Neodiprion lecontei: one gene and its partners. The protein of the gene in region 2 binds, or shares a complex with, the protein of the main gene of each other region. Links are inferred from orthologs where the notes say so. Each region holds a gene or a part of one and is shown on either strand. Other genes may lie near its edges.

Region 1 (6,610 bases), on a different chromosome or scaffold from region 2:
GCCGTATATATCCTGAGTGGAAAAAGTATAATCACATTTTTCTCCCTTATTTATCAAGTATTGTACTCTCAATTTTCTTGCGCTTTTTTGGTACATTTGCTATCAATCGGAGTTTAACTCATTCTATTTCTTAAATTTTTGCACAATAGTGGGATGGTTTTAATTATACTAAGATTCAAATGTTTGACGCTTTATTGGCCTCATAATTGAGCAATTAATTGTACTGTAATGTCTGAGTCTAAAGTTTGGATAAGAGGAAAAATAGTTCAAAAAATTTCCACAAGTGTTATTGGTGCTAATGATAGTGAAGACGAATGAAACAACATTTTCACCATGTGATAGAAACGATTCTGAGTGAATTCGAATAACATAAGCTATCAACCAGTTGAAAAAAGATGTTACAATAGAACGTTCGAAATATTTGAACTTTGATGTTGTTTTTAATGCGATTCTAACGTTTTTGAGGATATTTTACTCACTGACCAGATCCTTACAATTCGTTTAAAAAACATTCAAGAAATTTTATAATATAGAATAGTTATAACGCATAAATGTAATTATGGACGAAAATCTTAGGAAACGTACTTACAAAAATCTATTTTTATCGATTTTGGAGATAACCATTAGCGATATTTTTTTTAAGGGATCACCGTAGATTTCTATAGTGAATAAACTCAACCCAAAAACATTAGGATCAGATCTAAAACACAAGAGTTTGAGCACCTTGAACGTCTTAATCATGAAACCGTTTTTGCAAATTGTTGATATGCCAGTTTGTGCAATTCAAATCGGCCCGGAATCATTTCAATTACGTAGTAGATACCGTTATTGGTGCAACCAACACTGCTGGAGATTTTCTAAACGTTTTTTCTCTGCTCCCAACTTTTAATTCAGTCCCATGGACTACAAATAGATTGATATTCACCAGTTTCTGATCGTAACCGACCATCTGGATATGGGCAAGGCTAGAGTTGACAGCGGCCATAGAGTAGAGGTGCTTCCAAGACTTGGGTTTCATGGCATCGGCGAGTGGCGGAGGTAGAACATGGAGCATTTCTTTCCAGTGTTTGGCCAGCATAGCCTTAGGTGTCTGCTCGATGAATTCAACCAGCTCCTCCATGAAGAATCTACCGATTTGCAGGGTCGGTTCCGTCGCATAAACTATACCTTTGAACCCCGTACCTTCTGTTATGAACGGCAGTGCGAGCATGCAAGTGTAGTTCGATATCAGTATCGCATCAATCTCAGAAAAATCCGTGATCTTCTCTAACGGTGGACAAAACTCTGGCGTTGAATCAACGAATACTCTTCCACAGTTCTCTTTCAGCTCCTGGCAATGTGTTCAAATACCAGTTTCATTAATGCAATTTTTGCATCTGGGTCTAGAATTTTCAAACGATTCTTCTGACATTTCGATTAATTCTTCTCCCTGTTTATCGATTCACTCATATTTCAATTCAGTTTGACGATTAATCGACTAACCGAAATTTTCAATGAATTGGTTTTTTAATAAAATGATTCATCGGTATTCTTAATTAATTGATTTTCAGATTAGTCGATTCATCAATGTTTTTGATTGACCAGTTTTTCGATTAACGGAATCATCGATGTTCTCACTCAATCGATTGTTTCAATTAATCGATTCATCGGTATCCTTGATAAATCTGCAGTATTTTGGGTAATTGATTATTTCATACTTTTAATTTGATGTTACGAGTACTCGAACAACCTTTCACCTTGGCTCATTTGTTTCTCGATAGTTATCAATTCTTCTGATAACAAGTGTTCAGAAATTTACAAATTTTCTCTTTGTGAAAAATGATAGCATTACTCATCAAATAATAGAACCAAGGAAACTTATTGAAAGGTGGAAAAATCGGAATTCAGTTTCAACAGTTTCAACATGAGATTGAAGAGCGTCACATAGCTCTAACAAAACGTAGTATCGATAAACAACACACTTTTAATTACGACAACACAAACATCCTTTGTGAAGAACACAATTATTATAGAAGACTGTTATTAGAAGACTGACTAGAAATGTGCAACATTGTAGGTCACACCAATTCTGTTAATCTTAGACAAGATGTTGAGCATTTAAGTAATATTTACAAACCTTTAATCTCCGCCCACACAACAAATATTGTTTAACCTTTACTACATACAAAAAAAATTTTTTTTGTCCACATTACACAGTCCTTTCCTTTTTCTGTATAATTGTTTATAATAGGTTCACCTTCACTCTGGATTATATTTGTTTTCTCCCATCAGTCGTTATTCACCTGTTGACTCAATCGGTTCAACCAACAATAATTTTTTGTTAGACATGTGGAACTTAATTATAAAGAGCCTACCTCCACTTCTTTGACACTTGCGAATTAATTTTATGGCTAAAAAGACCTTCTTTAAAAACCTTTTAACACAATGACATACTGACTGTGAAGAAACATAGTTCTTTCATCTTTTTAACTAATGACTTCCAACTATTAACTCCCACATGTAAAATAACTTGAAGATTGACATTGACTACCGTCACTCAAAAGAACACTGTCTCCACCAATTGTAATTGTGAATTCGACTACATCTTAGTCCACTTACTTAATTCAAAAAAAAAAAAAGGTAAATAACACTTAAAGACATTCTTATTTCAATTAATCAAAAGGTTCTTACTAATCAATAATATATAATAGCTCTAAGAGTATTACATCTACAATATTTAAGTCTGATTACTTCTAGTACTATTATTTATTTTATAAAAAATCTTTTTGTTGTTCTTGACAGTTAAAAAAATAAATCGTTCTGAGGAGGGCCCATATCCGGGTCGAAACGTTAACTAAAAATACGTTTACTTAATTGACCGATCACCAAGATTCTATAATAGATTACATACGAGGTCGAGAATTCTTATTCATCAGTCTATAATAGTAATTGAAAATCGAGACAGTGACATAATGTAGGTCTTACCCCTTCAATTTGCCAATCCTGATTGTTATCCCTGGGAACCCAACTGGAAAGGGAGTTGAACTTGGCACTAGGCACCATGGGCATCGGCATGAAATTCAAAATTGACTGCATGTTCAGACCACAGTCCAACATTAGCGTTATGCCTTTGAAGCTCAAGACCAGGCATGGCTTTGTCGGCTCGCTGGACAGGCAGTACTGGAATAATAATGAAATAAATAAAATTGAAATAAATGTAGAAAGAAAAACATATGATGAATACTTAGTAGTTGTATCGATTTGTCAAGAAAATATAAGAACAAAAAGGTATTTATGATTATCTGGTGAAATTTGTTTCTGAAAAACCATTTTATTTGTCATAATTGAATTTCTGAAATTTATTATGTATTTTATTTATCGAAATCATATCTTTTTACGTGATACATAATTCAATAATTGGATTTTTGTAAGTTGATGGGGCTAGGTCAGGTTATGTTCAATTAGAAGCTTAGAAAGCCGTTCGAAGATTGAAATTCTATGCCAATGGCATATTTATTCTCAAGGAAATATAACGCAATTACAATCATTCTTACCAGCTTCATTTGAATGATTTGAATTGACGATATCGTAATTTTCTCCCAGTGTTTTTTCAATTTTTCTAACCCAAAACACAATCTTGCTCTCAAAACAAGGCATAATCTTTCCGAATCCTCGGTATTACTCGGCCACACGGTGCAAGCATGGTGCAGAAGACTAGCTAGAGAGCATGAAACCTAATTCGAGTGGTAGGGAAGATTCTCCGCTTGAAGCTTTCTGATTGGCACACGTGCACGGTCTCATTGAAATGAGACTTCGTTTCCAGACAGCTGTTGACTGAGGATATCAGACAGGTTCCAGGGTAGATCAAGAGTTACAGTCAAAAACCGAAAATTTCCTTGGCAATTTCTCTGCTGCTGGTCCTACGCTCTTTTTAGTGGGTTTTCTGTGTTCTGGGGGTCCAATTAGTCAAAAAAGGGTCATACAAATTGATTCGGAGACTAAAGATTTTTTGCTAAAAAATAGATTAACCTTGTATTTTTTCAGCTCGTTTTGGCGGTGTTTTAAACATGCTGGGCAACTAACTACTAGCGCCACTAGTGGTGGAAATTGGGGGCAGAATTGAGGGACACTTTGCGAACCACATTTAGCACCGTGTGTCAGCACCGTATTCCATCAAATTCTGTCGTATTTCAAAAGACGCTAGAATTGACTAGTGTAGCTAAAGTGAACCCGGCGCACTGGTCGGACGAGATCTGCCGCTCGCTCCGGTTTGGCGGATCATCTAGCGTTCAGCAGTCGCTCGGTGACGTCAAAGTTCTAGGAATTGCGAATGCCTGATTCTCTTATCCCTTTCTGAATTACACTCCTAGGTGATCATTATTCATCCATTTCATGCGAGAGTGAGTTCGATAGCGTTGTACTTATGAGAATTTATTTGTTTGATTACAAAATAATTGTAACTGTGTGTTCCTGAGTAGGGGGAAGGGGGTCACGCGATCCGCTATTTCGGATCAAACGTACAAAAATTTGTTTTTTTTTTTAAATAACTTTTTGTTGCAGGATCAACCGCTTAGGAATTATTATAACAAGACCAATTTTTTGCAACTAATCCAGGATGGCGAATCGCACGGACCCTTCTCCTCAAAGGCCGAAAATACATACACGACAATCACTACTATCCCACCATTTGTAGTGCAATGGTTTGTTTTACTCCCCATCAACTGGACTACATTTGAACATAATTAGAATGTCAGGAATAAAATATAAGTACATTACATACAAAACCGTAAATTTATATAAATATTGAATTTGTAAAGACTTATTATTTGCAATAATTCTAATCGAAGACTATACTAGAATTGATTAAGACCGCACTTACCTTGCTGTATTTCGTATTCATCCAATTCTGCAGCACGATGCAATTCCCACTTTTGCATTTTCTTATTCTCATCGATGGTATGTCCGTTTTTTTTTTTTGAAAATCAACCGTTCAACCAATTTTCATTTATAATATATAATTAAGCAAATCAAGATTTCATTTCCAAGAAAGCCCTCCATTTGAAACCTCAACTCTAGAAAATATATATTCAATCATCTCCTACATCAATTTGTTGAGCGAAATAAGTTCTTTATCAACTACCACGGAAATTGATTAAATACTCACTTAGCAAAATTAGGCTAAAATAATAAGAATAAGTACATTTAAATATAAATAAAATTATGCATCGTGATTCTCGCGTTGAGAAAAATAAAATCATTAATTGCGACACAACGTACAAAGTTTAGTTAAAAAAAAAAAAAAAATTCAAAATAATAACATTATTTTCTCGAATATCGCACGATATAAGATTTTATTTCCGTAAATAATTAGATAGAAAATATAATTAAGCCGAGCTAAATAATTAATAAGTTTTTCGTTTCTAGTTTTGTTTGTTGTGAAAACAGGAGGAGGGGTGAAGTTTCTGTTGCTATATAGTATTATTAATAATAATAATAATAGTTATTATAGGTAGTAAATAATTACGTTATGCAAGTCGGAATAATAAAGTTGCCAATGAGACGGTTTTTTTTCATCAACTATTTCGAGAAGTTTGACAATATTTGTTTTTCTTGTCATTAAAATTCAATGATATTGTTGTTTGTAATATTTCACGTGGTGGTAGAAGATATATCGTCGTCGTCGTTGCTGCTTGATTAAATTAAAATCTTTTTTTTTTATTTTCAATTTTCACCGTACCAATGTAATCAATCATTCAATTAACCAGATGGTTTCTCGTTACAAATAAAAATAAAAACAAAGAAAAAGAAAAGAAACACAAATTTAATCAGCACTTGTAGTTTGTTCAATTAGTTACCTTGTTGTTATGTTTTTTGCTGATAGTAATTCATGTTGCTCGGTTGCCATCTTTAAAAAGTTATTATTACATTATTACAATAGGTAATATTTTTTCCTGCGAAATTCCTTGCGGTGGAAACAACAGTGCTGCTGTATCAGCCATTCGGATTTAGATAGTAAAAGAAATAATAAACAACGTTTCGTGAATAATAAGCATGGCGCGACGTCAGTCCTCCGTGTCATAATAATCATAATAATGGATATCATAATCTCAGCAACGTTAACTACCATGAGGGTAGCAGAAGCAGCAGCGGCAGTAGCCGACTTATTACTATCGCAATAATAATAATAATAATCAATTAATTGAGACACGGGACAGGGAGGCAGCGGCGGCGCCACCTCACGGTGGTCATCCGTTATAGTAGCTAGTTATTTCTTCTTCTGTGCCTTCTCGGCGGCCTTGGTGACTTTGCCTGTGGCATCCTTGAAGCTGACTGCCTTGATAACACCGACAGCGACAGTCTGACGCATGTCACGCACAGCGAAGCGCCCCAATGGCGGGAATTCTTGGAAGGCTTCGACGCACATCGGCTTGCTCGGCACCAGAGTCACGATGGCCGCGTCTCCCGACTTTATCGCCTTTGGATTCTCCTCAGTCGTTTTACCCGTACGTCGGTCGCATTTCTCCTTAATCTCGGCGAACTTGCACGCTATATGTGCCGTGTGACAGTCCAACACTGGCGTATAACCGTTGCTGATCTGACCGGGGTGGTTCAACACGATTACCTGCAATAC
Region 2 (9,639 bases):
AGTTGATATCTTTTAATACTCCAAAGATTATGTGAAACTGTTCAGATCTACTAATCCTAGCCGGCAAATGGTATTAAGAAATGGTTGACAAGTGTCAATTGATAAAGTTTATTGAAGCTAAGCAAATCGCAACTGCAAGAAATCAGCACTATTGTAATTTTTATAATTCAGGTATGTGTCGCCATCACCCCCACAGCCACCACCTAGAAGACTTTCTGAAAGCAACTCGGTCCCTGGAAGTCCGCAACACATGCGCACCCGTTTACATTATACTCCTGAACCCCAAAGAAGGCCTCCACCCACATAACCCAATACATCTATAAAGACTTGGTCTCTTATCAGTGCCATACACTATTTTGCTCTGCCAATTTGACGCACGGCCTGGACCGATTTTACACTCAATATTACACTCAACTGTCTGCTGGGCAGTCTATGTACAAAGTGGTGGAACCATAGTGGAATCAGATGAGTCGTTTGGCTATCGCGCACTAAAAATCAAACTTTTATACTTACAGTTTATTACAGCGCTTAAAATCACGGTGACAATTGGTGAATTTTCGTACTTGCACAGTCACTGAAAATTGTAAAAGATAAATTTTCCATTGCGCAGCAATTCTCGTAATGAAGCGGTATAATGAATTTTTGTAATTTTATTTATTTTCATTTTTATTACAGTGTGTAAGTGCAGGGCTGGTAGGAAGTGATTTGTAGTAACTTTCGTTATTCTACAAAACCTCTGTTACTTTTTTAGTGCAATACTACTTTATGATTTTCAGTGATATAATATAAATTAAAAAATTCTATCAAATATTACTTCCTGTCAGTTTGGACAATATTTTCTTCCAAAAAATGTTTTGGATGTATGTAACGGTTTTTACAAATTCATTACTAATAGTCTAATAGTTATTTCTGAAAGATTCTATAATTCTGTGCTGCAGCTCGAGGTGGTGAACATTCTTACTGTGCATGCATCGCTATTTGAAAATATTTTCATAGTGCAAAGCGAGATCACAGGGCACAGCTGTAAAACTCACGTTCAGTTCAGTTTCAGTTGGCTTGGTTATTACCAGGCCTGGTACAAGAAAAAATTGCTTTCAATAATTGACAACGTTAAAAATTCGAATTCTAGTAAAATCAAATTCTCTATCAAGATTCATGGCAGCGAATCACTATCAAGTTCCCGTAGGTCGACACACGTTAGTTATTTTTAACCTCGAGTCATTGTGCTACGAAAATCTAAGTCATTTCTGGAGAGTGAAATTTAGCCTGAACGTATACCTTTTATTTATTTTATAAATCTCAGATACAGAAAATGGTGTATACAAAGTTCAATTTACGTTTATTTTTTCAAACTACGTGTACTGGTTTTCAGCATCTTTTAACAGAGCATTGTTTCACGCTTGACTATACATTTTGTTATTACTACAATTTCGAAATATAGAAAAGAACCTGATGAAATCCTTTGCCAGTTTTAGCACATGGTGATAGTGTTCTGATTGGATAACAGCTAATAAATTTTTATTTCCAATTGTAAATCTATTTTTGAGCAATCGAACGCAAACCAAATGACAAGGACCATCGACTGGCTCCTGTAAGTAAGCATAAGCTCCACGTCTCTTCAACGCTATAAATTTCATTGTATATTACTTAAAGGAAGGGCGTGGCAGCTAGCAGGATGTAATTATTATTTTTAAATAATATTATTAACATTAACTACGATGAAGTCTACGCTCGTAATCACTTTTGTCGCTTATTCGGCAAGAGGATTTTTTGCAATGTAAATAAACTTATATTTATACGACACTCTGTTTTATATGAAATGTGCCTATCGTACTAATTGACATGTTCCATTTTTATTAGTTTGTTGTAAAAAAGAATACAAAAAATTAGGAGTCTTTTCCTGGGTGACTTAAGTTTAAAAATCCAAGGAAGTAGACTATATAACTCAGTAGATGATTTATTATCTGTGGAAAGGTAATTTGAATACAATCCAAATTTTATAATAAAGTTTCACCGCTTAAACTGTACATACCTATACACACATATATATATATATATATATACACACACAAACAACTTCAGTATATATATATATATAAAATATAAAAATGAATTTGTCTTTATAAATACAAAAGGTACTTTCGTTCAATATTAATTTATATTTTTATATTTTTAATGATAATGTGTATACAAAATGTATGTACAAGTCATTTCATGTGTATGGTATAATTTAGAATACTCTTGACTGGAGAATTGCTTTTTGCAGCAAAGCAGCGAACGTTTTGTTGACCTCGCGACATAATATTTCTGCGGATTTATCTCCCAGGGCTGCTTGGGCCACACTAACTCGTCCAAGTTGTAGCAATAAAGCAGTTGTATCTTCAGCCAAAGGTGGAAATGCCAAACAGATCCTTGTAAGAGCTGGTAAAACAGGCATGAATAACAACACTCTACCTTTAGCTGGCAAAACTCCTAATAAAGTTGCCAGTGTATTAATAGCTAGCCGTGATACACTCAGAGCTTTTGGTAGGGCATACTGAACTGCCAAATGAGATGCTAGATCAACAGCAAATACTTGCTTCTCTGGTTCAGGCTGCGACAACAACTCTGGTATCCAATCGAGACAAATGTGCATAGAGGGAATACCAGAAACAGTAATTGGTAATAGCTCTCTTGGATATCCCTGAAATCATAAATAAGGATGCTTCAAATATTTTGTTTCATTTACAAAGGCTGGAAACCTGCAAAGGAATACTTCAACCAGTGTTTAGGGAATGTAACAGGATGCATCACGAAGTTAGTGGCAAAATTCAATCAGCCAAGTAGATATTTGGAGCTTATTCAGTTACAGAAAGCAAACCGAAATTTGTGCTAGTATTTCCAGTTCTGTTTAATTTTCTTACTCGATTACTGAATGGTAATTTCTTGTGTTATAGCCATAATCATTCAATAAAGTTGATAGATTAACCCAGGGTTTAAAAAATAAGTATACTCACTTGAAAATGCACTAATTTTGCTAGTGAAGGATCAGCAATAAAAACTTGATGAAGGTATGAACAAACGACACTTCGTATTTCCCTTAGGGACCACATTTGACCAGGCACTTGACGATCTTCTTCTGTTTCTAAGCAGGCTTCTAAGAGAATTTGTACTGCTGCACTCTCTTGCCCTGCAACCAGAGCAGTTCGTAGATCCTCTCTTTCAGCTTCGCTGGTTAGTTGACCAATTTTTTCTGTTAAGGGTCTGTCCTGCATATGTCTAGATAACTGAGATCGAGATGCAGCTAATGTTGCTTGCAAAATACTGTTGGAGTGGAGAAATAAATCGAGTCAGTTTCTAATTCATCAAGAATGATATACTGGATTTGTATTCAACTCAGCCTTTTACCGACGCTTCTTTCTTTGATCTCTCAAACTTATGCCACACAGACTTATAACGGCATACTGTTTTGTTAAAGGAAGTTGTGGACGTCAAGAATTCGTATCCATGACTTGCAAAGAGGTGAAAATTTTCCAATGCAATAAAATCCAAATTTTAAGAAATAATGTCATGTCAAATGTTGAAAGTATGAAAAACAATTCGTAGAAACGTCTGTTGAACAGAAGTGATATTTTACAATATTTCTGTAGAACACCAAAGAAGCAGGCATTGAAAACTGATTACAGTGGGTTGCAGTAGGCTGAAATGAAAAAGTTCATATTTCTTACCGTAGAATAACTGACAAGACGGGCGCGCATCTAAAAACTCTTGTGTGGCATCGCAAAACTTGCAGTGGGTCAAGGACAATGTTTTCTTGAGTAAGAAATACATTCCTGACCATTGTATTTTCAATGATTAATGCATTGATTGATAGTACCCAAAGGCATCTTGGTAATACAGTGTTTAATCTTAACCAGACTTGTTTATACAGTTCTGAAAAATTAAATTGAGTATTAGAATTTTCAACATTACATGTATATTATTTTGCGGTAAGATTTACTTAGGAATCATTGTGAAGTACTATTTATACCTTGAATGTATCTTGGTACTTTATTGTCCAATATTGCTTTGAAGAAATGTATAATGGTTTCCGCATGTGGCCAAATATCTGTAGGCTTCATGTCTATAAGCTGACGTAGTAATCTTCCTGTTCGGGATGGGCAAGTTTCGATATGTCCAAATGCCTCGATAATTGCTACATCATTAATTACAACATTGTCGTAATTAGCTGTCATTGAGTCTATATTTATCATCTCTTCATCCAACCAGTCATCCACCAACGACAGATGTGGAAAATGTGTGGCTAAGAGCCGCAAAAGAGGAGAAAACAATCCTGCGTAACTCATTTGATCCCTTTGAACTTGTTGCAAGAGATATTTTATTGGCAACTCAGATAAGAACTCGGTTGAATACGACTTCACTTTTTTACCCTGTGATATGAAATTATGCATATTTGATAATCTCACATCCTCGTACAATAATAAATAATACAATAGCAACAGTTGTGACGTTAGGGATGGTTTTGAAGTGTCAACATCCATGTAATCATTTTCCATATCAGCAATATTTAGAACAGACTTTTTTGGATCGAAATTTGCTCCAAAAACACTATTCTGGAATACTCTTCTGATTTCATCCTCTGTGATCGGTTTATTGGTATGTTCGGAGGTTTTGTTAGTTGTAACTAAAATTGAATTGACGTATACCTCCACCAGAGCTGGTAGTACAGGATGTAGGGGAGGTACACTGTCGCATATTTGACGATAAATCCAATTTTTAATTGGTACTTTGTGTTTGGCAAACGCTCTTGATTTTAGCAACTGATGTATGCAGTGCACAGGCAAAAACCCGGGGATGTTTGCGCTGAGATTTGCTGTAACAGGGACCTTCACTGCATGAGATGTGACAACCTGTTCAGTGAATATTTCTTGTGTGAATATCTGCTTCATTCTAGTGAGATTATTTGGCCTGATGGGTATTTTCATTCCTAGAGTAGCGCAGACCAGCTCACAAATAGCGGATAGCTGATTGCTGTGGAAATGAATAGCCATGAGAAGTAACATTTCACCAAAGCTGGCAGACACGCCACTTGTACTTTCGAAGTAAACTTCTTCTCTGACAAGCCACTGTACCCATTCTATGCTACGTTTTTCAAGATTACTGTGTCCTATCAGCGACGGGCAAGCAATTAGCATGCACAATCCCAAAGACACGAATCTGACCCCAGCTGGAGATGGTGGGGGATGAGAAGTCAATAATTGCACTATCATGACAACTTCGTCGTCCTGAAATTTTATCCCGCCGATTCCTCTGAGCGCGCAATAAAGTCTGAGCAAGGCACTGGCTTGAACAACATAAGACTCTGCCAACTGACTGTCTGAGCTGTGGGAAGTAATTGCCTTTAGTCTTCTAAGCAGTTCTTCTCTAAGAGATTGCAGAGCTGTATGGGACTCCCATTTTCGTTTCTGACCATTCCTGACAAACATCGCGATCCAAGTTCTTACTTGCTGATCATTTCCAAGCAACAATCCAGACACAAAAGCAACCATGTCGCTTTCTGGTTGTAAGTTATCGATATTCTCATGTTCAAGACTCAGAGTTATGGCAAGTGCAGGCATGCGGCATAGTTCAACACATTTTGCTCTAACAGCTAAAGCCTGACTGGGATTCATTTGGCACAGCATGGTCAAAGCTTGGGTACGAATTCGACCTAAGGCAGATTCTTCTTGTCTCTCTCCATTTGCGATCAGATGAGCACAAACCTCTGCAAAACTATCTGGACTGTTGGCTACGATCCAGCATATTATCTCTGGACCATGTTTAACATGTAACAAAGTTTCCGCTATGTCTAGAATCGACAATAGAGCAGGGAGTTCTGCCAGGGCTATGCAAATAACATCGCTTATTTCTTCCATGTAAACCGCATTATCAAATAAATCTGATTGCTTGATCTGAAACTCTTGATTTCTCTGGAGCTCTTGTATCTGAGAGGCTATAAAAAGGATCTCACTGAGTACTAAGCGTAGTCGTCGAGTAGAGTCACTACGTTCGAATTCCAAAGCTAATCCGCTCTGTAATGACTGAGCAAGAATGCTGTCGCTTTGAACACTTCCAAGTTTTTGTCTGAAACAAATAAAATTGAATCAATCAAATTCCTATAAGTTGACTTTGAATTATTTCTTTCACTTTGCTAGAAATAGAGTCTAGCAAAGCCTTTCACCTAAGTGAAATACATTTATGATATTCCATATACACATCGGTAATGTGTCTTTGATCCAAACATTTTTCATTTCTGGTGTATTTTCACAGTAAAATCTTAATGCACATTACAACATTTAGCTAGAGATTGCTGCCAGAATATGGATAAGAAATGGAATGAAGTGATAGCACAAATAGAAGAATGATAAGAGAATTGTTTTCAAAATTTGAACGTGCTATTAAGACCATTCTCAGGTTACCGTAAATCTTTCAAAAACTAGAGGTAAGACAGAGTTTCAGTAAGTAGGTTTTTTGATTTCATTGTTGACAAACTGTTGTTTGCGTGCCAAAAATCTATGACAGATGTTTGGGATAACCTAACTTAACAAAAACTAACCTCAATTGTTGTTCCTTACGAACGTCAGTTTCTAACGCGTGAAAGTCTATTGATAGAAGAGCTACGATGGAATTAACTAATTCTATCCCGGATAATATCGTTAATATTTCTTTTCTCCCTTCTGCGCATTCTTTTGTGATGTCCAAGGGTGAGATCAAGCTCATCCTAACCAAACAGGGTAGAATTGGTCGTATTTCTTTCTGAGAGCACGTCGATAGTTCTTTGATATGTACATTTTGTATCGCAGTAAAAACTCGGGGCGACACTGCAGTGTTGGTTGGCATTTTTAAACAACTATTTAATAACGTTATTAGAATTAAATTAAATATCACCACATCCGCGTACGAGCAGACGCAACGTCAACCTCGTTTCAAGTTTCAATTCAGCTATGTCGCTTTCAGGAAGTAGTAAGCCTGACGCCGTGGACGACGGCAATTCGGTAAGCAAAGGTTAACGCTATCCTCCAGAGAAGCCTGCATGAGGAGAGAGGCCAAGCTCTGACGCCGAATAGGTTTTTTAAACTAATTTTCGAGCTACGGGGACGGTAAATACGTATGTCCATAGCTGACTAATACTCTGCCGTATTTAGCATCACGAAGACAGTGTATTGTGCAGTGCATATTTTCCATAGCAAAGTGCCACCGCAGTGGTCGAAACAGAGTAATTCACAAACATTAAAAATTCATTCAAATTTGCAACGGCATTTACGCCGAGCCGTGTCGTTGGCTAAAGACAACAACGACGTGTTACGGAAATTCAGTAAACATCCGATCGCATTGCGCGCAGCTCTTAGCGCTGCTGACTGGTCGAAACAATTGTTTATGAGCGCCTCGCAGCATCAGTCGCTTCCGAGCAGCCGAAGCGAAATTACGTGGCGATTTAGGCCAGAGTTCAGCTCAGCGTTATTCAGGCTCTGTCACGTTATTTGAACAGTGCAGTACTCGTACCAAACTCATCGGTGTATAATCTGCGAATGATAGATTGTGGCCCAAAGAAAAATTTACGCGATGCGAGGAGGGAATTTACCTTAGGCGGCCAAAAAGTAAATGGTTTTTGGGAGTCTTTTCAACGTGGAAGAATTGAATGAATATTTTCTATACTCTGATGATCTTTTATTACTAGATTGCACTATATCTGGTAATTCTTACAAATCATTTGAACCATAACTGCGAAGATTGTAATTTTGATCTGAAACTAACTGAACAGAAAGTTTTAATTTTCAGATTATTTTTAAAAATATGAACTTAAATCCACCCATTAGAGTTAAAAATTTAATGTTTTACGCGTGTTCTAAAAAGGAGGTGCGATTTTTTACCGTTCTTTCACAGTTATTTTACAATCAACAAAGGGTATTTTAGATAATGAAATCACCTCAACGATAGGTAGGTTTTAGCCAAATTGCCAACGCGAATGAAGATTCGCTTAATCAATTGTGGTTCAAATGACTCGAAAAAATTACCAGATGTAGTTCAAACTAGTAACAAAAGATCCCCAGAGTTAAGAAAATATCCATTCAATTCCTCCCTCCCGAAAACATTTCCGAAAACCACTTACTTTTCGGCCGCCTAAGGTAGATTAATTCCCCCTGCTTCTAACTGATTTTTCTATTTTAACATATTACGAATTATATTCTAATTCGTTTCAGGTCACTGAGTTTCATTGACTCCACTGAAAAATCAACATATCTTTATTTAGGTTGAGATTTGACCACAAATCCAATAAATGTTCAATGTAATAACATTTTGCAAATGATACAAAAGTAGTGACATATATCTTCTGTAGTATTCAACATACCCGAAACTATAAAAACAATGATTTTATGGGGGCTTCGATATTTTATTTATCAGTTATGTATACTATTATGTTATTAATTATACTCTCATCCCTTTCACGTGGATGAGAAGTTTAGTTCAATATTTAGGCGAAAACAAACGAACTCGAGTTTTCATTTACGTCAGTTTGTAATTGATATTCATAAAGTGAACCAGAGTTACTCAAGGGCACTAAGTTTCTCTCTTCCTAAACAGGATCAATGAATTAATAGGGATAAATCATTATGGAACTCTGGCAAAAGTGTCAGTTTGAAAACTAAACAGCGCGTCTCGTCTAGCGCTTTTTACTATGCTTTTTACCGACGGTCACGTTTACGCGGCAGGTCAAACCGAATCCAGGTGGCACTACTTGACTCGTATTTGTTTGATTAGCCACAATTCAATACACTGCCGGTTCTTCTGACACGTCGAATTAAAACTTCAAAACGTTCGTAATTTTAATACGCGCCAATTCCTGCCATACTTTTGTATTGCATAAAAAAAATTGCCATTCAGGATCATATTGAAATAGGCTGAGAACGAGTTTGGTTACAAGCATCAATATATAATGGTAATTTCATTTATACATGGTTAATCGTAATTGTAACATATAATTTATTCGTGAGAATCAACAAGCGGTTGTGGTATATTACATAACAACAATAGCAACAATATTATAATGCAAGTACAATAACTCTAGAATTGATTTAAACTTAAGAAACGTTATTTATGATATAACATTGTATATAATGTAATACATCGTAAATCTCTCAAATATTTGTATAATTCATAATTAACAAATGTATACATACATGTATAAAAAGTATGTACAATTCAGGTATGTTGATAAAATTACACCAGGGAACGAAGATTTTGATCTTGAATCCCAACACAAGTGGCTCAAAGTCAGTCTATGTAATTGTATCGCCTTAAAAAATTTGGTAAATTTTTTCATTAAATATCTGTTTACTTCCAATGCATGGAAAAGACTTATCAACATTTTTTATGTCAAATCTATTATAGACGTAAATCACCTCAAATGTATGTATTACCGGTTTTTAAATCAACGAACAAATTATTCTATACCAATGGATGCTGAGGATGCGGTATCTGCGGCTTATAATTAGATATTAATTATGCATTGTAAAGTATAAAAGTTATTTTAAGATAAAGAATATTTCGTCGACTTCGTAATGACTGGAAGCTCTCAACCTTCAAATTTGTAATGAATTGTTGATTTATGGTAAGTTTGAA
Region 3 (9,663 bases), on a different chromosome or scaffold from region 2:
AAAGCACTTAGCCAATAGCACTTAAACATCCCCTGGAAATATATGAAACACAACTGAGCTCACCACGTCCCGAAGTTTGCTCTCGATTTCATCCGAAGTAAGTTTCTTACTTAACGGTGTTTTTCTGAGCAACATATCGCAGTAATTTGCCAGTAGTTCAGGACACTTGGATTCTGGCTGTCCATTATTGCTGTTTACAGGTTTAGTTGGGATGACTGGAGCAGTTACACCGGTACCTTGTCTAACAGGCAGTTCAAGTCTGAATACAGTTGAATCATTGACAACTAATTTATATGCCTTGTCTCTGGCTGTGAGGAATCGCGGATCGTCGTCAAACGCCTCCTTAACCAGAGTAGAAAATCGTCTAAAGAGATCCAACAATCTTTCTACGTATTTTTCAGAGTCTTGGGTTATCACATCGACTGCTGCCATCATATCGGCAAGACCGGCACTCGCTATGTGATCTTCCAGGTCTTTTAACATTGGACTCACTCCATCTGGTACGCGATCCATCAACTTGAGCATGAGTCTGAGCTCTGTAAATAAAAATTGTGTGAAAAATTTGTAATGTATTTAATGTTAGCAAAGTTTATATTGTCTAAGATTATTAGTCTCTTTCTCAAATTACTTTCTGTTTCATGATGCTGAATCATGCGAGGACATTCGGCAAGGATGGCTGACTTGAAGGTAGCGACAAGTACAGAAACACAGCAATCCGTCAACAACTGTACACTTGCACTATTTGGCTCCAAATATTTTTGAGCTCTCAATTCTTCTTCTCTCAACTTTACCTCTGCATATCGCATGTAAGTCTCTACTCCATGCAGAGAAAGTTGCTCAGGAGCTTTTATTTTGTAAAATTCTTCCGTGGCTTTTATGTACGATGCCTCAAAATTATCTCTGTATATTTGCAGCTTGTCCATTGTATTTGAACACAGATTAACTGTAAGAGATAAAAGTGAAATTAACAATTAATCTTCAACTTTACTTTTAATTTCTTGAAATATAAGTCAGGATTTATTTTAACAAGACATCCTATAAAACGTTCTACATCAAGTTTTCCACTTCAGATCATAGTTCAAGTTTTGTTTGAGACAATATTATTCTTACAATAACTATTGTTGAATCAATAATGTGTTTGATTGAATTAATTGTGAAATTTTCTTTTTAATTCCCATTTGTTTTTACTGAAAACTCCTCTTTCACTTGCATAGGCCTCACCATAAGATTCTCTAACACCAATGACCAACTGCGAATCAAACGCCTCCCCATTTCTTTCCGCCCGCACCAGCTTCATGGCTGAATCCTGTAGCCTTTGTTTTATGTCTCCAAATATACTCTGGTTCCAACTGTCCAGCATCAACTATTGCTCAGAAATAAATATTGACTTGATTAATAAATCTAGCAGCAGAAATCCATCAAAAATAAGGAATGAGTATTACCTTTCTAACTATACTTTCCTCCGCTTGATTCCTTTTCTGTGTAGTAGTCTTTCCAGCAAGCGAAGTTTCCAGTTGCCTAAACGGTGTTGGCAAATAATTACATTGGGTAAAAAATTTGCGCCATTCAGTTATGTAGGCTTTAAGCAACGCCTGCTCTTCCTGATGCGCCAATACTCTCTGAATCAACGTAAGGCAAGGATTATAACATACATAAATTGGAAGCGAGTCACTCGCAGATTCCGAGAGGGAAAATGCTAATTACAACATTGATTACCTGCTGTGCTTGTTGTATGAAATCCATTATGTCCACTTTGAGAGTGTCCCTTAATTTGGGAGGACCTTTGTCGTCCCATAGGCAGACCAAGTGAACTGAATAAAATAGATCCTGCCATTCCCCTTGTGTAACAGCTTCTTGTTTCAGTAATTTCAATATTACTGGGCGCATGCATGGCCATTTTCCTGCGAAGCTAAACTGATTCCGGTCCTGCATAAATAGACGATGAAAAACGAGATCAGTAGGCACGCAGGTGAGAAATTTTGAATATTTCGTGATGAATAGTATCAGCTTAGTCGCAATTCACTCAATATCGGCGGTTTGTTCAGTGATCGAATTTGATTTTCAATGCCAGATGAGTCATTTTCAGTCGAATAGCTCGAGTATCATGGGAATTCGTTCGCCCAAAATTTGGGTCTACTCAGTTGTTGGTGATTGATATTTTCTCCGTCATTAGCAAAATCCCTTCACCGTTTACCTATTATTTGCGGTTATTTAATGACAACTAACCTTTAACATCGCCGCCACACTAGTTTTTGACATGTTATAACTAGTTGCTTTCCCCCATTTTCTTCAAAGCCAGCTGCAGCGAGGAGCCTGAGATGGCCTACACTAGCATTTTTCGTGTCCCTGATATCATAGCGCCCTCTATGAGAAATTCATTTTTAGGACTAATTTCCACGGTGATCGGTCGGTAAGCATGTGTCAGTAGGTGACCAATACTCTGCCGTGGACTGAACTCTGCCGTTGTCAGCATAAGATATAGAACACCCTGATACCCGGTCGTAGACGAAACGGACGAAACTGAACAATTTACAAACATTTACGGCCCCCGTGATTCTAAATACGGTAGAATGCTAATCGCTTACCGACATTCGATTACTGAACATGCACCTCGAAGATTTGTTCCAAATACCTATCTCGTGATTGATAGCGCTACAAAATAGAGAACACAAAAGACGTGCACGGTGGGCTCTCTCAGGATTCTCTCTGCCAGGCACCAGTGAGACAGCCCTGCAGCCATTTGAAAAGAATAATTTTATTTCGTTATCAGCGAACAATTAAATTCGATTGAATTGTTTCTTTGAAAACGGAATATCGAAAGCAATTAGTTAATTAGGATCGTCAGATAATGGCAAACATAATATTTACACTATATGGAAATGTCACTTCTTCTGGAGATTCAAACTTCGAGCCATATCGATAAACTGAAAATTGCCTAGGGACCTTACGGGTAGTAATTATATTTTGTACTCACTGCAGAAGTAAACATATTTGGATAGTGCCGGAAAAGAGCAAACGTTTTCAATTTCTATAAAACTGAAATAAAATACATCATTTTGTAAGATGATCGGCATGAGGATGAACGCATTCAACGATACAGGTTTAGGAGAGCCGGAGCAAGATGCAAATTCAGCTCTAATCGAGCTGGATAAAGGTAATTGCAAAATCAAAATTGTAGGTTAACTACTTTGATTGTCAAAGCTACCACGTTGAATTTCGATGGTAAGGCAGAAGATTAACTAAATTTGCAGCATCTTCGTAGTCTTAATATTCTCCTCAATCTTACTTCCTGTAGGACTACTCGAATGCTCAAAAATGTTAGAATCTTCGCCGGGATATGACGTGTTATTGAATTTGAGGTTAGCTTATGCATTTCTGGTTTTCAAACAAATATTCGGTGTTATTACAGAACAATTCGTATCGGAATTTTTATTCAACATAGATAAAACTCTATAGCATCCAAATTTAATGCTAAAGTTGATTGAAATTTTCAAACAAGTCAGTAATAAATTGTCGAACACTTGATAGTGATGAGAGTAACAGCTTGTGTTTACAGATGAAAAAATCTTAACCCTTTAACGGGCCGAATGACTGGATGATTAAAAATTCAAATTTCTAAACTATTCGGGAAATCTGGACATCCTGTGACAAAGTTTTAATGTTTTAGGTCTTCGGTCGAACAAGATAGGGGAGCAGTGCGAAGCTATCGTACGATTTCCCCGCCTATTCGAAAAATATCCTTTTCCAATCCTGATAAACTCTTCGCTGCTCAAGTTGGCTGACGTCTTTCGGATAGGCAGCAACTTTCTGCGCGTCTGGGTATTGAGGGTTTGCCAACAAAGTGAAAAACACTTGGACAAAATTCTTAATGTTGATGAATTTGTCAGACGAATTTTTAGCGTTATTCATTCCAACGATCCAGTTGCAAGAGCGCTTACTCTGCGTACCTTAGGCAGTGTTGCCGGGATCATACCAGAAAGACAACAGGTAATTATGCAACTGTCATTCATTCACTTATCTATTATATACGAGTACGACTTCCATTAAAGTATAAAAAATTGTGCTATAAAAAATGTAAAAACATACAACAAATTTTAATATGCATGTCCAATTATGTAGAGTTATTTATAACAAAGAGTAGAGAAAATTAAACATTACCTTATTAAATTTAATTCAATTAAAATAGTGGAAAAAACGTTTTGTGTGAAGCCTTAAAGATTTTTTGATAGCCAAAATGTTACCTATTAGTCCTAAATTTAAACCAAAATCTGTAAACTTTTTATTTTCATCTATTTTACGAAATCATAATTACTTTGATAATACTACGTTTAAACGTTTGTTAAAGTTAGCGACCTTTACTTATTATTCCTTATCTAAGTTTCCTTGTAAATGCCTCACCTATCTTAATATTTTGTATATTCTATCTTTCTTAAAAGACATTTAATGCTCGTTGATCTAAATAAATAAATAATTTATTGTCAATTCTGTCAAGGTGCATCACAGTATAAGAAGATCGCTCGATTCTCACGACTCCGTCGAAGTTGAAGCTGCAATTTATGCTGCCCAGATGTTTGCCGCCCAATCGAAGCTCTTTGCAGTTTCAATGTGCAGTAAGATATCGGACATGATTAGAGGACAAGCTACTCCTGCTACAATGAAGTTACAGTTGATACCAATTTTGCAATACATGCATCACGATACGTCAACCGCTTCGATGGTACTAATAATCTTACATCGTTCTTGTTTTCACATCAGAATAGTTGATGGGCAAAATTTTGTATCCAAAATATTTTGTCCAATAATCGTTTATTTCCTCTGTTTTCATTGACACACAGGTAAACGACTTGTGCATGGAATTACTGGGAAGTTATCCAGCGGTGGAATTTGTAAGGGTAACATTAAGCGCTTTGACCACGCTGGCCTCTGCCACTTTAGTAGACGTCCCAGAACAAGTTGCGTTGCTATTACGCTACTTACACGACGACCCAAGAGCATTCATTAAACGCCATGCTCTCGATCTTCTGCACTCTTTGGCTAGGAGAGGTGCGCATCTCTGGCCACAGGGAGCACTCACAAGTCTGATCGGTATGTTAGTCGATAAATTTTTGCAAATTATATTTCGTGACAGAAGTGATTCAGGATTATTAAAGATGATCGAGCAAATGAAGAAGTAAACAAGGCAGTAAATTTTATCTTCGATTTACGTGTGGACTAGTCTGGATGTAGATGAGAAGTAATGTAATTTTAAAACTGACATTTATGGAGATTCTAAATTCTATGGGTTTAAGTTTAGCCAATAAGTCTGATATATTTATTTCCTGTTAAAGATAGCACAACAACACTGTTACAAGATGGAACCGTTAACTCTGGTCTTCTAATTAGAACTTTGGATGTAATTGAGGTGATGTAATGTTTTTCATATTTTTTGAACATTTGCAAAGAAAGTTAGTTCCAAAAAAAGTTCAAGTGAAATCAATTGTAAGGCTCAAAACTAATTTTCAAAAATTACAGGTACTTAGTCAAAGTGCGGTAACCTGTGACGCGAATATGGAGAAAGATAGCCCGCTACTCTGTCTGTGTGTCAATGCATGTTACTCACCTGATCTTCTCGTTGCTGTTAAAGCAGTTACAATCCTGGCTAGAGTAGCTTGCTACTGGTAAACAAACACTTTATCTCTCTATTAGGAAATCCCGTAAATGCTTAAACTGTGATTAATAACGATTTTACATTCAACTAGTTACGAAGAAGGTTTGCCGGCGTATGGAGATGCTGACGTGGTGTCTTGCCTTGAGTCGCTGATCGTTTTGTTGGCGTTGGACGAGGGTCATCTGCGCCAGTTAAAAGTATGCCTGCGATCAACGGTGAAGCTGTGTGAGGCTAATCCGAAACATTGCCCTATATTCGTTGACGCCATTGGATCAACTCTGATAAATGCTAACACTGAAGGAGGGCAAGACAAGGGTCAAACTGTGGCACTGTGCGAAGCATTGGGGGCTATAGGCAGTTTGAGTGAAAATGCGTTGCTTCCGCTCCTTCCTGACATTCTGTTAAAGCTTGAACAAACTTCTCACGTTCACACAAAGGTAGCAAAAAGTTCCGGGTGTATGGATATTTTAATTGAGAGGGTATACGAGTAAGCTGCTGAAAATGATTTCATTGAATTGAGGTTTTTTTTGTTGAAAAATATGTAGATCGAGCTTTATTTAAATATTTATTGTACTAAAATCAAGTAATAGAAAGCATTTTTATTGACGATAGTGTGAACAATTATGCTCCTTGATATGTTTTGCAGTGTCGACGAACAATTAGCGACTATATCTCAGAAATGACTGAACCGATTTACTTCAAGATTGGGGATAGTATTCTTGGATAGTTTATTCTCTCTGTTACGATCCAACTTGTTTTATAATCATCATATTTATTTGTTGATTACAAAAAAAGTTTGAAATTTTCTACGAAAAATCGAATTTCAATTACGAAAGGTTGACGTTTTGTTAAACAAAGGAAAAAATAAATTTACAGTTATAGCAAAAAGGATAAATTATCCAAGAATGCTGGCTCGAAATTTATGATACATCGGATCAGCCGTTTTTGCAATATTATCGGCACTGCAAAAGATGTCATTAAGCGAAATGGTTGATGTTATTGTCAATAACAATGCTTCCATTTGATTGTAATTAAAAAAAAATAATTTAAATCAATCAAATCTACATGCTCTTAATTAAAACAAATTCCAAATAAATTCCCAAATTCACCCACTTTTTTGGATTTCTGCTCGTAGATTTCCCCTTAAGTGCAGTAGCATTGTTAGAATTTCGAAATGAACATCTTTTGCTTGTTAGGTGATGCTGTGCACTCTACTGTTCCAAACTGTGGCAGGTGGTTACGAGTGGAACGCAGAGTGTTTGAAAGCGATCGAGAAAGTCGTTGTTAGCGTTGACGGATGGGCAAAATACCGCATCGCTCGTGGAGCTGCGAGGTACGGCCACCATAGTGTGTCTACAAAAATATTTCAAAGCCTTAAGGAAACCGTCGCTTCTGAACAGTTACACTTTTGGCTGTCCGGTCTTTACTTGGTCACCAGCGCAGAGAGTCATCTGTTGTAAGTATCAATTAACAATTGACAAATTTCCATTTTTTCGTTTATTCTCTAAATTACAACGGAACTGACTGTTTGTGGCTTACTATAATTCAGGGACGACCCAAAAGAGAGCGACGGAGTCAAGAAAAAACTGGGCACAGTTGAAAGATTAAATGGAGCAATTGCCCGGTATGCTAGCGCATGTGCATCCCTTAAAGCAGCCAGCACACCATTACGGAGTCTACAATTCGCTAGCGAGTATTCAAAATTGCGATGTGAATTTCTTCAGTGTATGGTGCAGCTTCTACATTCCTGCAGGTCAATGTTGCATTCTGTCAAAATCTTACGCTGTGGCAAAGACGCATTTTGTGACACGTAATTTATTGCCAACATGGATTAATTTAGATATTGACTCAGTATATCTCTGTTGGTCGCAGGTCTCTGTGTACTGCTCCACCACCAGCAATTGCAGCCACAGTTGTTTTAGCCACTAGAGATGACTTGCAACGTTTTGGACGTGTTACTCAACAGGTGAATATCAATCGCATTATTTTTGGTAAAAAAAATTTATCTTGCCTAATAAGAAACGTATTTTTCCCCTTCAACCAGCTGAGAAAGTCTGCAAAAGAGTTGAGGAATTGCGCAGAGAATTACCAAACGCTTTATCAATCTGCTTTTGACGCTGATCCAGGATCATTAGCAAACATCAGAGCGTATCCTTTTTATATGAAAATCGCGTTAACAAGCCTAGTAGCCGGAAATCTTGCTTACGCAAGTGAAAACAATGACCTTTCTGATTTAAAAATCCTATTTATTATAGTTATTTGAAAGTGTATGAAATTTCAGTATTCATTTGCAATCAGTAAATCATCGCTTACAAAAATGAATAAAGTTTCACAGTCACGTAAGACGATTGCTTTAAAAAATATGACTTTTCGTCAAAAAAGAAAAACAAAAAGTAGTCCTTGAATTTGAAAAAGGAATAAAAGTAAGGGAAGATATTGGTTATCAATCCTGCCTGATTCAACAATCGGGTTTTTTTGTTAAAATTCCTCAATGAAAACGCTACAGTTTGCAAGAAATGTGTCGTTTGATGGCAAATAGCGTAGAACGAGTCTGTGGGGGTGTCGGAGCAGCGATGTGTCAGCCTAACGAAACTGAATTCAATTTTGGTGAATCCGTTGAGATGAGACAACTGGCACGCTGTTGCACAGAAGTGTACAGATTGGCGCCGAGCTGTGGTAGAGAAGGCGACGGAGAAGGAGGGGCGATTAGTCACGTAAGAGTCGGGTGTTTAATAGCGCAGGTGACGCTGCTGGCTGGGGGTAAAGTCAGGCTTCCATTGCCCCGTTACTTTTTCCAAGCACTGCAGGCCACCAGCGTGAAGCTCTCCGTTTCTCCACAACCTCGTGTTCTTGGTGAGCCCGTTTCTCTACCTCAAGGGAGCCAGCTTGCCCTCAAAGTTGAGGGTGTACTGAGACACGGCAGACGTGCATCTCTGTTTCGGTCCGTCGCTGCAGTCTGCATTTCCATATCCACTGCCCCTCCATCAAAAATCAACATAGATCAAAAGGTACGATTTTGTTTACTCCAAATTTTACCTGATTAGTGAAATCGGGACGATGATTGTATATTGCTTGTTGTTTACAGGATACGAATATGAACGAACTGCAGCAAACAGTGATACCTCACCGTGACTTCTTCGCCTGTGAGTTTCTACTCTCTTTAGGAAGTCCTGGGGCGGCAGCTGCTGTTTGTGGAGGCAGCACAAGCGGAAGCGGTGGCGGACAATATCAAGTGACTGCCAGTGCGAGTATTCTGGATAAAGCTGGGAATGTGTGGAAGTGTGGACCTCGTTCGACTCTTCAAGTTCGAGTGCACGAGGAACCTACAAAACGGAAATTACCTTGATCTGTGCAAAATACTTGAGATAAATTAGAGCAGAAGATGACAGATACTGCGCTGGAATAGATTCCAAAAGTAAGTATTCATTGTGTCTCCTCCGGCAAGAGAACTTGCATTCAATGTGTTGCAAGCAGGCTAGAAAATGAGGGAGAAGAATGTGTGGAGCTAGGTATTGAAATAATTATGAAACGATAGACGCTCGTGACTTCAAAACAAATTTAGTATGCCATTATTAAAATATATATATAATAGTATATTTTCTAGTAACGTTTCAATATAAAGTATAACATTGGAGTATAAAAATATATAAAATATATATAACTTGACAATGATATACGTATAGGTGTATATCAGCTTAAATAATGCAACAACAATTTTCGTGAATTTTTATCAACTAAATAAATCTTTTTTTTTATTTATTAACAAATCAATATTGATCTCTGCCAGCAAAAACAATTTGATTCGTTTGTTTTCCTCGTAATACTCAAGAGCTAGTTCAATTTAAAACATTATGTTCATATTTTTACTATATCGTAAATGCATTTCCAAATTACTACAGAAAGTAGATCATATTTTGCGTGAAGCAATTGCGATAATTCGATACCTGTTTCAGTCCAGAAAAAATAAATTGACTTATAACTGTATTCTTTGATGATGATAATATTAGTGCACTCGT
Region 4 (6,800 bases), on a different chromosome or scaffold from region 2:
TATTCAAAGGAATCGGTTGAATTGCATTATTGGACAGTGATATTTTGCAGCAGCGTGTGCGAGCAACGTACGTGTTTACTCGAAAAGTGAAAAATAAAACACGTTACGTGCACACATAATAATCGGCTACGTAGTGGGTGGATCACAGATACGAACGGACGACAGACTCACCGAAGACAATTACTTTAGTGCGCGAATGCGTGCAAATAACCACAAGGAGTTAAAATTTTTTGAAAGTACCCCAAGAGCATATTCCGGCTTCAATATATCCAATGTGATCACTTTGAAACTTTCATGTTAGTCCATCATCTCCGTTACAGTGTACTTTTTCAGCTTGTGTTATACGAGAAGAAACTAAAAAACAGACTAACATTTGTGTACGAAATGATGATTTTAACTTATTTATGATTGTAGCTGTTTAGATGAAAGAAAGGAAAAGATGAAACGATTCAGAAAACAATAACGCCAATTACAGCTTTGTTCATATTGATATAATATAAAGTAAAATTAAAAATTAAAATAAAAAGGTATATAGATACATTAATATAGACATTCTGAAGTCGCGTACGTACATTTTTTATACAAATGTGCCAATTGTTTCTGTTATAATTTTCATATAAGTTGTGCACAACAAACGCGAACATAGGTTTTACAGCTGATATATACATACAATATACATATATCTCAAATATTTATAAATTTTGTACAGATGGTAACGAAAATTAAAACTTTTCACCAATCAATATTCACTTATTGCTGCGCGCTTGAAATCACTTAAGTCACCATATTGGATTAGCATTAAATAGGAACATACTCTGTACGGGTACTTGGAAATACTTTAGGTATTGTTGGGTAATATGAGTAGGCACACCACTTTGATATAGGAAGCGAACATATTTTATTATTAGATTACGAAATATGTATATATGTGTGTGCATGCTAATATATCCCCATGACACCCCTGTACATAATAACCAAAAATCCCGCACCTACTAGGTTCTAAGTGACGCTCGGAAAAAAAATGAGATAAAAAAAAAAACAAATTATGAACAAACAAACGAAAACGACTCTTGCCAAATTTTCAATGGGACGTAGGGACAAACATTTGAGAAATCGCAAAATATATTGGTATTATAAACTAAACGTTCTTATTATGTCTTCCCATTATTCATTTCATACCATGTTATACCTGTCTAAAAAAAAGGGGCAAGGGATAAAAGTTTGGTCAGAATTGGATAAACTCTTTTTTAAATAAAAAAAAAGGTTGTTTTACTTCGATACATTTACATACAGAGTTTTTTTCAATCCAAAATCGGCTCTCGAAGCAAGATTGCTCGGCATGAGAGGAACATAAAAAAAAGGATTTAATTCCTATCATTCATTCTGAGCCCGATTTTATCTTAAACAGTAAAGACTTATCTTGGGCAGTTTTTGACGAAGATAAAAGTGCATTTGACGAAGAATGCTTACTACTACCACTACTGTTACTGCGTTTCTCTTGCTTCACTTTCTTCATCATATCCCTTAATCTTCTGTCCCCACTGACAATGTTTATATTCGGTGTGAGTTTTGGTGCATTAGATGCACCTGTTGGTGTACTGCCGCCACTATTCGACTGTGACGAGGTAGCGTTACTAGAAGTTGATTTGTACTTGTCGGAATGCTTCGAGGCTACGGAAATCAAATTAACGAAGGAATCAAGCATTTTGTATGAAAATATCATTGAACTCTTCTTCCTTTTGGTACACTTACTGGAACCTGATGATTTTTTGTGATCTTTCGATTTTCCTTCGGCAATAGTTCGCGGCGAACTTCTGTCCTTTGACGCCTGAGATAGTTGAAGGAATAATTAAAATGAAAGTCAACCAAGCTTCCAAATACAATTAGAAGACCTGCCTCAAAATGAAAAAATGTCTGTGGGCATAGAATTTTCAAACAAAACCTTACCCACCTGTTGAGATTTTGAACAGCTCGAGCAATACCAAACTAGTCTCGGATCATCTATTTGAGTATCCAGAATGTGAGGCGTATGGCACTCCTGATGATAGAGAGAATGGCATTCTACACATTCCACAAGTCGGTTCCTTGCCCCTACATCCATTCCCTTGCAAATGACGCATGTTAAATCATCTTCTAGAATCTCTAGGGCGAAAGTGTCATCTGTCTGGATAATATCTGGGGGAGTGTCGTGCGAAGGTAGGTTGATGGGTGAACTGTTTTTACTCGATTTGCTCGAGTGCTTGGATGACGTGGTGGATCCTTTGCTCTTCTTGCTACTACCACTGCTGTGGTCACTAAGCACTGGCTCTTCCATTGTGTACTGAAAAATAAATGAATTCACAGCGATATTGCAATGGAACAAAGATTGATCCTTTAATTTTTGGGGAGAGGCAAAAATCGATAAGATTTCATATAGCATATTATTAAAATCGAAATGAAGCGATTAAACAATAATGTTGATACTATGCTGTTGAACAGTGCCTTTTCAATATCAAGAACAATTAACAAATTGAGACCTGGACTGGGAAAATAAAAATAATCTATTATTTGTACCTTTTTATGGAGAACATTGCAGAGCATTTTCGCTGGGCCATGTTTTTGTCTGATTGCGTCATCAAGAAGGGACCGAAGTTGTTCTGCTGAATCCTTGTTCGGCGAATGTAGGAGACGGAGTCCTTGCATGAATTGAGGGTCGAGATCCAACTGAGACATTATTATCGCAACACTGTTTCACCTGGGAAAAAATGTTAAAAAATAAAATATGCTGCGTGGTTATACTTCTATCTTACAAGGAAGACAATGTTTTTATCATATTGGAGATCCTTTCAAAAATAGAAGGCATCACAAGTGATCAAACAAAGGAGGGGTTCGAATAATTTTAATTCCTCATATTTGCTTAAATTTTCACTGAACAATTTGAAGTTTTTCTCCTGTTTTAGGAATGAGGGAGATGTGTTTTACATGGTGGAAGAATGATTTTGAATTCTGATATCGAGGGTATTTTATTTTTCTTTTCAAGCCAAGCTATTTTAGATACAATAGTTCACTTCGGTATTTAACAGACTTAAATAGAAACATGAGGTCATTCCCTACATAATATATTGTTTCTAATAATTACCGTCCTAACATTATACGACCATTGAAATCGATTTAAAACCTAAATAATATCTTTGCAAAAAAAACCGAGGAATGGATAGATAAGTACTATTGGATCAGTATTTTCTGTCTACTTCAGTTCTGTGCAGAATCAACGTGCCACTGCTATTGTGGCTATTGGCCCTGTGCAGTGCTGTTTAAGTACGTGCTTCACGCTGATGTGTGCGGAGCATGTATGGAACAACGCTATATAAAACGTAAAACCACGGAGTATAGCGTAAAACAACCGGCAGGCTATACCCAATACCATCGGATGCGGGGTAGAAGGACCACAGACCACTTGAGAAGACGGTACATGCATACTACTATTACTACTAACACGAGTTTTCCCACCCATTTCTCATGCTAGTCTCTTGTTTTGCGATTACTGAATATTCGTAGCGACATCTGGGGATCGTATCGGCGAGTTATCTGTTGTGCCGATAGAGTTCGAAGCACTCGTTCGAGTTCAGTGATGTAATTGGTGCGTTCCAAAGTTTTAACCGATTGCGGTAACAATTTAAATATCGCAAATCACAATGCTTTCATTCTAGACCGATAAGTGTCCACGAAAGATATTCTGTTCGAAAACTTGACATGAGAAGAAAATGACGAGAATCTAAGGGTAATCGTAGTGTAATACACCATGAGGGTAATTTGAAATTTGCAATATATAAAACCATTAATATTGCTCCATGATAAAACCTTAGAGCATGTTTGTAGCACGAAGTTGGTCTGTAGGCACGTCCATATGCCTAATGAATGTTTTTCTGTTGTGACGTCATATTTTCTTAGGTAGCGGCGGTCTGATTCGTACTGTAATCAACCCTACTGAAAATTATTCTGTGATAAATCACATAATGTTATGACCGAAAATCGGATGTGTTTTATGATGCAATTTAACATGTGAATACAATTTAATACGTATTTTTACATCTCATAGTAAATCGTGAAGTATAGATTATAACATAAAATACGTAAATCATATGAGAAATCATAGGTTTCGGTATATGATTTGTTGTGTATTTTATCTTATAATCTATACTTCGTGATTTATCGTATGATTTGTTATGTATTAATTCGTATTCACATGTTAAATTACATGATAAAATACATCCGAATTTCGGTCATAACGCGTTATGTGATTTATAACAAAATAATCTTTAATAGGGTGACGATATGGGCGTAATTACGAGCATCATATCTACACACAGATCTTTTATTTTACATTTTACGTTAAGTACAATTTTGTTGCTAGAAGAGAATAAGTTATGATCATTTTCATTTCGAGTACGCAGGGATATTTATACACGCGGTTAGACGGATAGCCGACGTATAAATAAATATGTAGCTTACATATTATATTAACAGCGTATCATCATTTTTGTTGTATTAAAAATATTGTACAGGTTGAAACTTAGGATTTTCGAAATGCTCAAACAGTTTCACGCTATGCAATAAGCATGGCTGCTGTACAATGTATATTATATTTATAAGTATTCCTTTTTTTTTTTTTTTTATGAAAGTCTTATCAGGATGATAACAATAGTATTATTGAAAAATTAACATTTCGGGGTATTGTGTTGACCATAGCATGATTGTGAAGCAGTCAGTCGTACGTTTTAAGGAAATTGTGTAAAGTAAATTATATGAAAATTTTGTGGTAAACTTTGTGTATGTCTAAAGTAAAGTCATTGTGATCGATGTTGTTGATGGTAATTGCAAATTACATCCTTTTTTGTTTCTTCTTTCACGTATCATAGTCATTATCATATTACTTGTTGCTACATCGATCAATACAACTACGTTTATATATTTTTCTTTATATATTTACATTCATATTCTCTCGCATGAAAACCTTTCTTGATTTTAATTTTCTTTACTGTAATCGCATGACACTGGAAAATGAACTACACGCATACATATTTAGGTAAATACATTTTTCTACACGACGCTCTTTGCAGGTGACGTTATTGTTGAACCACACACGAGTATCTTACTTCAGGGAATCACAATACTCTGGGTATGTATGTACACAACGTATACAAACTACAATTTTTATGTATACTCATACTGATTATACGGTATTCGCAAGTCAAGTATAAACTATGGCTAGGGTTTATCTACTAATTGAAATCCGTAAGCAAACTGATCCAAAAACCACAATTTTTCAATATACCGCACCACGCATAGTTGGCAATAATATAAATAATATGGTAGAGTTAAAAAAATATTACAATCACAGATCTATTATAAATACTACCTAAATGTGTATAATTCAAGATAAGCGCAAATATTTATTTGTATATAGCGCTATAAAATATTATTATAGTATTATTTACAAGTTTATAAAACAAAAAAAAGTCTATCAGCTAATCGTTGACTTCTTAATCAGTTTGCTATAAATTATGTACAACAATTTTAAGAAAATCACAAATTGCAAGCATTTGTATGACGTTTAATCAATCGTTATTGAGAATTTCGAAACTGAAACTCGAAGGAAAGATATTTTCGAATAACATGAAGTAAATCTATTTCGCGGCTTCAAACAATGAAACGAAACTCAGATTAGATAGATTTTACGAATTACAATAATTCAGAACAATATATCTTGGCGAAAATATGTCTGGAAGACTCGTATGAGAAACAAAATTCAGTAACATCAGAATAGTTGCCTCTATAACGGTAAAGGTGGTCGTAACTTTTTTTTTTGTTGCCAAATAATATACGAATCGAAGCAGGAATTCCAGCTCAACTGAATCAGAAACATAAGTAATTGGTCATCGATGTCTCCTTTTTATCTTGTAGAAAAGTTTCCGTTTGAGACTTGACATCTTCAGCTAGTATTATTATCACTATTATTATTGTTGTTGTTGTTGTTATTATTATTATTATCATCATTATCATATTAGACTTAAGTTACTTGCTTTTTTCCTGAAGAAAATAGATCAACAAATAAATCAGCATTATCGATTTTCTGAGGCGAGTTGTAATTTTTCATACGCATACTTGGTAAGTACCTTAAGTTATAATTAATTAGAAAGCGCATTTATATATATTGTATAGGTATAACATATGATACGATAATAATGAATAAACGCAAGGTACCGATAATATCTGTGAAATTCTTTGTTCAGACATTGTAAAGAAAACCTCATCTTATTGCTAAAGAGACACGCCTACTCGCAATTCATCCATGTATATATGTATAGTGTATATACATAGGTGTATGTATTTGTTTAGTATAGGTAAACGTTTACATAGGACGTTACAAAAACCGATACCACAAAGGACTCACAGAACCAATAGAAATAATATAATTCAATTACACATTCCACGTTATCTGTGACATAGAATTTTGCAACGAGTCGTTTTACGTCCGACATAAACTAATCATTGCTCGGTTAGTTTATGAGAATTCATTCATTCTTGAAAATATTTTCACTCCTTGACTTAGCAAGCTGCCTTCAATTAACTAGTTATTTGTATACCTAGTACATGTAGGTAGTAACTTTTCTCGTAGCATCTGCATGTCGCATGAAATCTTTAGTTTTGTAAAAGTCAATCTCGCCGAGGCAGTGACAGTAGCTAATCCTGGCTCCAAATCTTTACGAGTATCGGGTTTTATATACTGGTCGTCGTATAGTACATATTACAATTCTCTT

What was found.
Region 1: integrator complex subunit 2 (region 2) and integrator complex subunit 9 share a complex: the UniProt entries of both Homo sapiens proteins name them as parts of the integrator complex. The link is inferred for Neodiprion lecontei from reciprocal best matches to the Homo sapiens genes INTS2 and INTS9.
Region 3: the proteins of integrator complex subunit 2 (region 2) and integrator complex subunit 7 are in contact, whole or in part, in a cryo-EM structure (PDB 8RC4), measured with the Homo sapiens proteins. The link is inferred for Neodiprion lecontei from reciprocal best matches to the Homo sapiens genes INTS2 and INTS7. Residues at the interface, in NP_065799.2 of Homo sapiens: Gln27, Lys28, Val29, Cys48, Arg51, Met52, Cys55, Ala56, Ala58, Asp59, Gln60, Ser61, Trp64, Phe92, His93, Ala186, Glu187, Pro189, Ile194, Val218, Asp220, Ser221, Asn223, Glu224, Ser259, Leu262, Lys263, Arg265, His285, Gly294; in NP_056249.1 of Homo sapiens: Leu38, Gly39, Glu40, Cys42, Glu43, Val46, Arg47, Asn77, Phe78, Leu81, Cys82, Leu84, Lys85, Gln88, Gln89, Asn114, Asp115, Pro116, Val117, Ala120, Ile121, Arg124, Val153, Glu156, Val159, Phe160, Ala163, Leu195, Lys196, Pro199.
Region 4: integrator complex subunit 2 (region 2) and integrator complex subunit 12 share a complex: the UniProt entries of both Homo sapiens proteins name them as parts of the integrator complex. The link is inferred for Neodiprion lecontei from reciprocal best matches to the Homo sapiens genes INTS2 and INTS12.

What each region holds. Positions count from the first base shown.
Region 1 is NC_060264.1:21,327,360-21,333,969, forward strand, and holds the start of integrator complex subunit 9, read right to left. Parts: upstream 3,666-6,610; 5' UTR 3,543-3,665; coding exon 3,534-3,542; intron 3,268-3,533; exon of another isoform or gene 3,160-3,267; coding exon 2,965-3,159; intron 2,620-2,964; exon of another isoform or gene 2,585-2,619; intron 1,331-2,584; coding exon 926-1,330; intron 13-925; coding exon 1-12. Other genes in the region: elongation factor 1-alpha, read right to left, coding at 6,245-6,601. UniProt on the Homo sapiens protein: Component of the integrator complex, a multiprotein complex that terminates RNA polymerase II (Pol II) transcription in the promoter-proximal region of genes.
Region 2 is NC_060262.1:33,653,831-33,663,469, reverse strand, and holds integrator complex subunit 2, read right to left. Parts: upstream 6,956-9,639; 5' UTR 6,859-6,955; coding exon 6,575-6,858; intron 6,103-6,574; coding exon 4,010-6,102; intron 3,913-4,009; coding exon 3,708-3,912; intron 3,592-3,707; exon of another isoform or gene 3,388-3,591; intron 3,304-3,387; coding exon 2,997-3,303; intron 2,684-2,996; coding exon 2,231-2,683; 3' UTR 1,532-2,230; downstream 1-1,531. Other genes in the region: dual specificity mitogen-activated protein kinase kinase 7, read left to right, coding at 172-307. UniProt on the Homo sapiens protein: Component of the integrator complex, a multiprotein complex that terminates RNA polymerase II (Pol II) transcription in the promoter-proximal region of genes.
Region 3 is NC_060266.1:20,109,515-20,119,177, forward strand, and holds integrator complex subunit 7, read left to right. Parts: upstream 1-2,988; 5' UTR 2,989-3,063; coding exon 3,064-3,154; intron 3,155-3,667; coding exon 3,668-3,987; intron 3,988-4,492; coding exon 4,493-4,717; intron 4,718-4,835; coding exon 4,836-5,085; intron 5,086-5,327; coding exon 5,328-5,401; intron 5,402-5,511; coding exon 5,512-5,657; intron 5,658-5,738; coding exon 5,739-6,084; intron 6,085-6,843; coding exon 6,844-7,103; intron 7,104-7,196; coding exon 7,197-7,400; intron 7,401-7,519; coding exon 7,520-7,613; intron 7,614-7,691; coding exon 7,692-7,795; intron 7,796-8,153; coding exon 8,154-8,655; intron 8,656-8,732; coding exon 8,733-8,993; 3' UTR 8,994-9,210; downstream 9,211-9,663. Other genes in the region: cullin-5, read right to left, coding at 64-536, 629-943, 1,222-1,363, 1,443-1,619, 1,717-1,926, 2,227-2,259. UniProt on the Homo sapiens protein: Component of the integrator complex, a multiprotein complex that terminates RNA polymerase II (Pol II) transcription in the promoter-proximal region of genes.
Region 4 is NC_060264.1:35,288,066-35,294,865, reverse strand, and holds integrator complex subunit 12, read right to left. Parts: upstream 4,101-6,800; 5' UTR 3,397-4,100; exon of another isoform or gene 3,119-3,396; intron 2,735-3,118; 5' UTR 2,713-2,734; coding exon 2,554-2,712; intron 2,321-2,553; coding exon 1,952-2,320; intron 1,829-1,951; coding exon 1,753-1,828; intron 1,672-1,752; coding exon 1,379-1,671; 3' UTR 1,232-1,378; downstream 1-1,231. UniProt on the Homo sapiens protein: Component of the integrator complex, a multiprotein complex that terminates RNA polymerase II (Pol II) transcription in the promoter-proximal region of genes.